2 separate regions of the Mus musculus genome follow, and region 1 is reported to be linked to region 2. Evidence: microRNA targets listed by miRTarBase, many of them from high-throughput screens and not tested one by one. Region 2 holds a microRNA gene; the other region holds the end of a gene's coding sequence.

Region 1 (4,435 bases), not on the chromosome of region 2:
AAATTATTATTCATAAAAGTAGCAAAATTACAGTTATAAAGGAGCAATGGAATAATTTTATGGTTGGGGTCACCACGTGAAGAGCTGTTAAAGGGTCACAGCATTAGGAAGCTGTCGGTACATCAGCTGTTAGGAAATGTGAGCATGCTAGGTGTCAGTGTGCTAGTAGGGTTGCTTCCTCACTGAACCCGATGAAGGGCTGCCTGGAGGCAATCCTGAGTCTGTTTCTTTGACTGGATTTCCCTATTTGCTGTTTCTCTAGAAAAAGCCTCTCCCAGAATTTTTTTTTTTTTGGCTTCTGTTTGTTCTTGAGTCAGGATCTCATGTGGCCTAGACTGTCCTCAGACTCAACCATCTTCTGCTTTAGCCATCTAAATACTAGGCATGTGCCACTACATAAGGGTTTGGGGCTCTTGGATTTTCAGAAACCTGTCAGATTCTGATTGTATAGTTGATGGTCCTGGTTTTGGGGCTCTAAATGAATAGATCTGGTTTCCCCGGAAGATGTCACCTATTCTTTCCTCCTGTTCCCACAGAGAGAGTCAACCAGAACTCCCTGCTGAGCCACAGCTGTCAGGAGAAGGGTCAAGTTCTGAAGATGATTCTGACCTCTTTGTCAACACCAATCACAGACAGTATCATGAGAGTGAGGAGGAGAGTGAAGAAGACGAGGAGGAGGAGGAGGAGGCAGCCTGAGCCCCAGGACCCACTTCTCTATTTGCTCAGGGACTACCCCTTGGCTTTTCTGGGCTTGGACATCCCCAGGGTGCCCTGCAGATCTTTTCCTTTGGATGAGGACAAAGATGGCCCCTTTCTGAACTGACCTAAAAGAATTAAACCCCTGGTGGGTGATGACTTACACTGGTGTCTGAGTGGCTCTCTGTGGAGGGAAGCTCATGGTGAAGTCTCTTCGGTGGTGGAAGCCTTGGTCACGTATGAGGAGAATGGAAAGGAAATGGTTTGGCCTAACTCTGCTGCATGTGTCTGGTTCACAGTACCTCTCTGTACACTTTATGCCTCGCTCTACACTGTGCCTTACTGGGTCTTCTTCATACCTGCTTTCGTTTAGTCGTGATTCCAATAGTTAAGCTTGTTGCCTAGGACCTAGTACTCACTTGCCTCTTAAGCACAGCTGAGGACAAACCTCTTGGTGCCTTGTTGTCCCTTATTGCAACAGTGCATACTACCTGCTGCCATACAAACAACACCCATGCACCCTGTCTCTCTTCACCTTAGGCACCTGTCATTTCCAGAATGTGTCTGTGGTCAGGATAACCTCCTTACCGTCTCATGTTTTTTTAATTTTTCCAATTTCCTCAGGGTATAAATTTCCTGTAATCTTGAGATGGTCTGTAACGTAGGTTTGCTTGGGAATCACTGTATAGCCTAGGCTGACCAACTCAATGGCTGTCCTGCCCACAGGCATGAACCTGTGGGGCTCCTAACCTTTTATTAGAGGCTATTGCAACGCCCTTACCCCTTGTACCTCAGCATCAAAAGGCTGATCGTGGCAACTCAGACCTCTGCTCATGACTGCCTCCATTCATTTACTCACTCTCATTGCCTTAGTTCACAGATCCTTCAGTAGCCCAGGTACTCACTAAACTTCGAGCTTCTGTGAACTGTGTCTGTCCTCGCTTGTTGGAAGGCTTTTGCTTCTGGCTATACACTGCTAGCATTAACCCAGCCCCTGCTGAATACCATTGAAATTGACCTCTCAGCTCAGTATTGCCCCTGCTGGTCATTTGCTCCATCCCACAGTGGAACTCTTCAACCCTGTTGCCCACTCCTAATGTGTGTGTGTGTGTGTGTGTGTGTGTGTGTGTGTGTGTGTTTTCCGTGTGCACTTGTACTAATGGAACTTCTACTTTGGAGCCTTTCTGAGGGATTTTGTTTTTCTGTTGTGGGTAGTTGGTTGAGTGTGGAGGCATGTATTAGCTTCATATGCTATATAGAATCTCTTATTTTTGAACAAATCTTATGATCATACCCTCTCTGGCTTTCATTTATGTCCGTCATGTTTGCTTTTTGTGATAGTAAATGTATACTTGGGTATACACATGTATAAAATACAGATGTATATACATGGAAAAATAAACTAGATGGGTTAAAGATGAACCTATCTTTAACTTCTCTGAATTTTTTTTATGAAGAGTTTTTTTTTTTTGTTTTTGTTTTTCGAGACAGGGTTTTTCTGTTCTTTTTTGTTTTTGTTTAGTACTGAGCCTTGAGCACTTGGCATGGTAGACTGGTGTTCTTTTGGTTTGGTTTGGTTTTTTGAGACAGGGTTTCTCTGTGTAGCCCTGGCTGTCCTGGAACTCACTCTGTAGACCAGGCTGGCCTCTAACTCTAGACTGGTGTTCTTAACAAGCTAGATCTACAGCTTTTTGCTGTCATTTATGGGAAATAGAGAACTAACTTTAACTAGAGAAATAGCCACTTGCCCCTAACTCACTCATTAAAGGGCTCGTTCTTTTCTCATTGATACACCTTTTACCTTTTTTAGATGCAGACAGGTACAGTTAGTGCGCTCCTCTAATCCCAACCCCAGCACTTGGGAGGCAAAGGCAGGCAGGGCTCTTGAGTTCTAGGTCAGCCAGAGCTGTAGAGTGAGTTCCTGTTCAAAAACAAAAAGCAGGCGAAGCACTGTGGAGGCAGAGGCAGGGTGACCTCTTGAATTTGAGGCCAGCCTGCTCTACATAGTTTTAGGACAGCCAATGCTACATAGAGAGATTATGCCCCACCCCAACCCCACCCCCCCAAAATAATCCTAACCAGTTGTGGCACCTATCTGTAATCCTACTTGGGAAGGTAAAGAGAGAGGATCAAGACATTCCCACATCTGGACTACACAAGACTGTCTAAAAACATTTCTACAATAAGGATCTTTTAGTATTCCAAATCTGCCCTGTGGGTCTTTGTATTTACACTACATATTACAGTACACTTGCTACCTCATAGTTCCCTGACTCCATCGTCCTGAGGCTATCTCAGATTTCCTCATTACATAAGAACTTTAGGATCAACTTGATTGATTTCATTGAATAGTCCTCTTGGCATGGCCAATGAAATGGTTCAGTAGGTACACACTTGCTGCCAAACCTGAGGAACGTGTTCAAACTCCAGGTTCCAAATGTTGGAAGAAGAGAACCAACTCCTGAAAGTTGTTCTCTGACCTCCACAAAAGTTCTTAGACCTCTCCCTACACACACCCGTCTTCCCCAGTTCTGAGATAATGAACATGCACTACCAGCTTAAGGTTTTATTGTTGTGAAGAGACACCATGACCAAGGCAACTCTAAAGGAAAAACTACCATCATGGTGGGAAGCATGGCATGCAGGCAGGCATGTTGCTGGGGAAGGAGCAGAGCGGTCTACATCTTAATCCAAAGGCAACAGCAGGAGATTGTGCCACACTGGGCATAGCTTGATCATAGGAGACTGCCCCCACAGGGACACACTTTCTCCAAGGCGACACCTCCTAATAGTGCCACTCCCCATAGTCAAGCATTCAAACAGGAGTCTGGGGGTGGCAGGGGTTCCTATTCAAACGCGTGCACACACACACACACACACACATGCACTTGTTCATGCATGCATGTACTGTGGCACGTGTGTGGAGGTCAGAGGATAACTCTCCTCCTATCATGAATTCCAGACATCAAATTCAGGTTGTCAGGTTTGTGGGGCGTGCATGCTTATCCACTTCTTGCCAGCCCGGTTGTGGTTTTGTTTTTTGTTTTGTTGTTTTGAAATAAGGTCTCAAAAAAGGGGTGGTGGGGATGACCACCATCGTAATATTTCTTTCAAAGACACACCCCAGAGATCTTTTTTACTACACTCTTTTTATTATGTATTTTTATTATTTTAAGATATTCTATTTTAACCTTTAGTATTGGGGGACATGAAGGCTGAGGCAGGTGCATCTCTGAGTTTGAGGCCAGCCTGGTATACATGGTTCTACCACAGCACGGCTATGTAGAGAAACCCTATATCAAAAAAAAAAAAGCTTTTTTTACTTTTATTATTTTAAACCGAGTGTGTGCTCATGGGTTTGTGAGTGCTGTGCCCACTGAAGCCAGAGGCATGGATCCCCTGGAGCTAGAGTTACAGGTGGTTGTGAGCTGCCAGACCTGGGTACTAGGAACAGAAATTGAGTCCTTTGCAAGAGCAGTAAGTGTTCTTAACCTCTCCAGCAACCTTTATTATTTTTAATTTTTTTTCATGATTTCTATGTTGCCTGACTGGCTTTTGTGGTGGTTTGAATAGATTTGGCCCCTATAGACTCATGTGTTTCAATGCTTGGCCATAAGGAGTGGCACTATTACAAGGTTTGGTCTTGTGGAGGAAGTGTTTCACTGTGTAAGAGAGCTTTGATGTCTCCTATGCTCAAGCTCTGCCCAGTGTGAAATCAGAGCCACCTCCTGGCTGCATG
Region 2 (4,435 bases):
TGCAGCAATGAGGATCACAAGGTCAATTCACTCTTGCTGCACACTGAGACGACAGAGACCCTGAATTCCATGCACAATCACAGAATACAGTGGGAGGGGCTGCAGAGATGGCTGAGCAGTTAAGAGTAACTGCTGCTCTTGTAGAGGAGCTGAATTTGGCTCATCACCCACATAGCAGCTCAACCCACTTAAAAAAAATTATCTCATGTATGACTACAATGTAGCTGTCTTCAGACATACAGAAGAGGATATCAGGTCCCATTATAGATGGTTGTGAGCCACCATGTGGCTGTGATTCCTGGGAACTGAACTCAGGACCTCTGGAAGAGGAAACAGTCCTCTTAACCAGAGCCATCTCTCCAGCCTGACTCTAGGAGATAAAACACCTATTTCTGAGCCAGGCAGTGGTGGCGCGCACCTTTATTCCCAGCACTTGGGAGGCAGAGGCAGGGGGATTTCTGAGTTCAAGGACAGCCAGGAACTGAGAAACCCTGTCTTGAACCCCCTCTGCCCCCCCCCCATTTCTGACCTCTGTGGCCACTACACTCCTGTGCACAAACAAACCCACCGACACACTGATAATTTGAAAAACCACCTACAGATGTGGGTAATGGAAGCACAAGGCCCTACTATGATACCCTTGGTCCTTTATCTCCCTTCCCAACATGCACTTCTCTAAGGGCACCTGTCACAAGGAACTTCAGTACTCTGAGAACAGGGACAGCCCTGGTTACACCACTTGTACTGATCAAATAAATGGCTACAACAGCAGGGTGAACGTTACCTAGCTTTTACTCTTGCCAGCAGCCCAAAGGATAAGGAGGGATCGTTAAGACTGGCAAGAGTTAACTCACCCGTGTTAGACCACCACAGAAGGGACTGTGCGACACATCAGGAGGTGGTATATTTGTTTACAGTTTATTGAGTACAGTATAGGAATGTAGCACGCTGGTCAGTAACTGGAGTACTGCCTGCAGCACATTGTTCTAAGAATTTCATACCGGAGTACAACCCACTAGGATATGCCCCCCACCCCCTTTCCGACTGGCTGTCTTAAATTCATTTCTCTTTTCACTCTGAATATTCTATTTATTTTTGCTTTCCATCTCTCATCTTCACTTGTAGCTCTCTGGCCATCTTCCTTCTGCTCCCACCATTCCTGTTGTCTCTGGTGGTCTCATGGTGGATGCTTTTCACTTCCTCTGCTTGTTTTTGAGGTTATCTTGGTGGTTTCCATCTTCCTGTGACACCTTTTGGTATGCTAGGAGCAGCTCTGCCACTTAGCCATGTTCCCAGTCCTCGCCTTATGGTACTTACCACCACCCATATGGACGTTATCCCCACGTCCATGGCTCAATAGGTGGTCCTAACTGGTGTTTTGAGAGGCAGTGAGACATGGCAGCTGGCAGTTGAATCACAGGGTCAGGCCTTTGATGCTTATATCTTCTTTGCTTCCTATCTCTCTCTGCTCCTCCTTCCTCCCAAGCCATTACTTGGTAATTAACTCCTCCTGCTGCCAAAACAGCCCTCACCTCTGTTCCTTTCTCACTCTGGCAGACCATAACCCTGAAACTGGGCCAAAATGAACCTCTCCTCCCCTAAGATGCTCCTGTCAGGCATCTATTGACAGTTACATAAAACATATACACTACTACACCACAATGACAAGCATTTTTAAAGACTAAAAGACATAAACATCCCAACCCAATGACTGGGATCCAAGTGGGAATGGCTAGAAAGTAGAAAGGGGCATGGGGCTCAAGACCCACTGCTTGGCATCCATCCTATAGCCACAACAGAAACTCCAGGACAGGGAGACCTACCGAAAAACACCAATGCATGCACCGTGGGGCAGTGGACTATCAAAGGTAGCCTTAGCTCAAAGGGGACCACCAGGCTACCTTTCACGGCCCACTGCCCCACAGTACACAATATATCAAGGTACACTCATCATTGAAGCAGCAAAGAGGGATCTAGGTACAAGATCCCTCAACGTAACCCAACACTTCATGACAACTTCGAGGTACGTCCTAAAAAGGTTGCACCTTGAACAGTCTCCAACATGTGACTGACCTATATACCCCAAAGGCGTGTAAAGCTCAACCAGAAGACAGAAATAAGAAAGAAAGCAAAACGAACCCTTTAAAAGTTCTACTCTGTCAAGTAAGATTGCTGGACGGTGGTGGCCCACACCTTTAATCCCAGCACTTGGACAGAGGCAAGTTTTCTCTTTCTCAAGTTTTGTTTTCTCTCATTATGTAGCTTGGCTGATTTGAACAGAGATCAGCCAAGCTACAAAAGATGATCCTGTCTCAAAACAAAAGCAATCCATACAATCAAGGTACAGAATGGAAATGAGAAAAATGGTGATGCATCACAGTATACCACACACACGTATGAAAATGTCACAATGACACGGTATCTTTACAGTTCTACCATATAGAGACTGGCAAGGGGCATGGTCAAACACATTTACAACCTTGCAGAGGTTATTTTTAACATAGACACAATTGTGGAAAAATTAACCCAAAAGATTTAAGTCTATAAAATGTAAAAGCAGTCAAAGAATTATGAGATTATAGGGAAAAAAAAAAAGGTTTAGGTCAGGAGAATAAAATCCACTTCAAAATTAAGCCTATAAATTATTGGCTGTTACGCTGGGTGTGGTGGTGCACGCCTTCAATCCCAGCACTCGGGAGGCAGAGACAGGCGGATTTCTGAGTTTGAGGCCAGCCTGGTCTACAAAGTGAGCTCCAGGACAGCCAGGGCTATACAGAGAAACCCTGTCTCAAAAAACAAACAAACAAAAAATTGGCTGTTTCCAGGAACACAGTAAAAGCCAGTTACCCCAGAAGATACCACCAGTACCACAAAATCCAGCTGTAGTTACAATGGTTATTTACTTTTAAGACAGGATTATGCTGGGCACGGTAATATATACCTTTAATTCCAGCAACTGGGAGGCAGAAGGAAGTTCAAGGCCAGCCTGGTCTATATTGTTTCAGGACAGCCAGAGCTACATTGTGAGACTCCGTCTCAAAAAGATAAAAGACTGCTTCACCATGTATCCTGGATTGGCCTGGAACTCAGAGATCCATTTACCTGCCTCTGCCTCCCAAGTGCTGATATCATAGATGTGAGTCACCATGCCCCACCCAGCAGTGTTCTTAACCCTAGACATACTATGCTCCTAATAATTCAAAGTAAAATATGTGGGCATCAAGATTGAATACCACAGAATTAACTGCGGCTCTTCCAGAGGTTGGATTTGGTCTTTAAGCACTCACACCAGCAGCTCACAACTCTGAAGCTCCAGAGGACCTAGAGGCCTCTGTTAGCACCACACACATAAACAAAACAGTAAGTCAAGAAAGGGAGACACTGTGCATTTGTAATGAAGAAAGGCAAACCGTCTCCCAATGGTCACTGAACATTTCAAGAGGCTCAGATGTGCCATTACACAGGCAGGTGGCAACCACACCACCACACTTTTGTTTCATTTCAAATAGCTACAAGGACCATTATGATAAATGCTTGAGGCATACATAGCCCGACTTGACACAATGTACAAATCTCAAAACATCACCTGGAAACCTTAGATAGTACATTGTTTTTGTTTTACTAAAACCATTATACATATCTTCTTCAAGTACTCAAACCCAACAGTAAGCTTTATAAATTGTTTCAAAGCAACCTTTTAATAAAAAAATAATAATTTATGTGCACATGAATACTGATGTCCAAGGAGACCAGAGGTGGATGTGGGTCCTCTTGAAGAGCAGTGTGTGTTCTTAACTCTGGCTCCACTCGCCAGCCCCTAAATTATCTTTTTTGAAACATCTGTGTGTGTGCATACATCACCATTTGTGCATGGAGGCCAGAGGACAACTTGCAGGAGTTGGTTTTCTCCTTCCACCACGTAGATCCCATGGACTGAGCTTGAGTCTTCAGGGTGGCTGCTAAGTGACTATGCCTTTACCAGCTGAGTCACCTTACCATATCCAAAGTACACTTCCCTGTTGAATACTCACTCTTAGGCACCGAGATCCACTATCTGCCTCCACAATGCTGGGTGACACATGTGTCATTATATACAACTTTTAGAGATGGAACCCAGGGCACAGTACATGTGCTAGGCAAGTGCTCTACCAATGAACTACATTTGTAGCCATTAACACGTCTTTTAAAAAGACTGATCTTTATTTTTTGTTTGAGTGGTTTGCCTGCAGGCATGTACACCACATGTGTGTCTGATGCCGTGGAGACCAGAAGAGAGTATCAGGGCCTCTGGAGTCGAAGTTATAGGCAGCTGGGGGCTACAAGATTGACTGCTAAGCACCTGTCCAGACTTCTTGACAACACCCATTTTTGATAATTCTTTGCTCTTAATCAAAAGACTTAAAAAATTATGGCAATCTCATTATAGTGCCCATTA

Evidence for each region. The annotated mature microRNA mmu-miR-3061-5p reads CAGUGGGCCGUGAAAGGUAGCC and lies in region 2 at 1,896-1,917, opposite strand. An mRNA with a match to its seed (bases 2 to 7 or 8) in the 3' UTR can be bound and repressed. Matches are read on the target gene's strand: a 7mer-m8 pairs with bases 2 to 8, a 7mer-A1 pairs with bases 2 to 7 and ends in A, and an 8mer does both.
Region 1: the mRNA of Eif1ad is a reported target of mmu-miR-3061-5p. Seed matches in the 3' UTR shown: 7mer-m8 at 1,782-1,788.

Annotation. Positions count from the first base shown.
Region 1 is chr19:5,369,390-5,373,824 of GRCm38, forward strand. Eif1ad (eukaryotic translation initiation factor 1A domain containing) reads left to right here. Exons shown (of 6, transcript NM_027236.2): 6 at 537-2,122. The coding sequence ends at 696. Among named protein-coding and RNA genes, the nearest start is that of Banf1, 4.7 kb to the left of the region's middle.
Region 2 is chr11:52,124,241-52,128,675 of GRCm38, reverse strand. Mir3061 (microRNA 3061) reads right to left here and starts at 1,930; the gene lies at 1,840-1,930.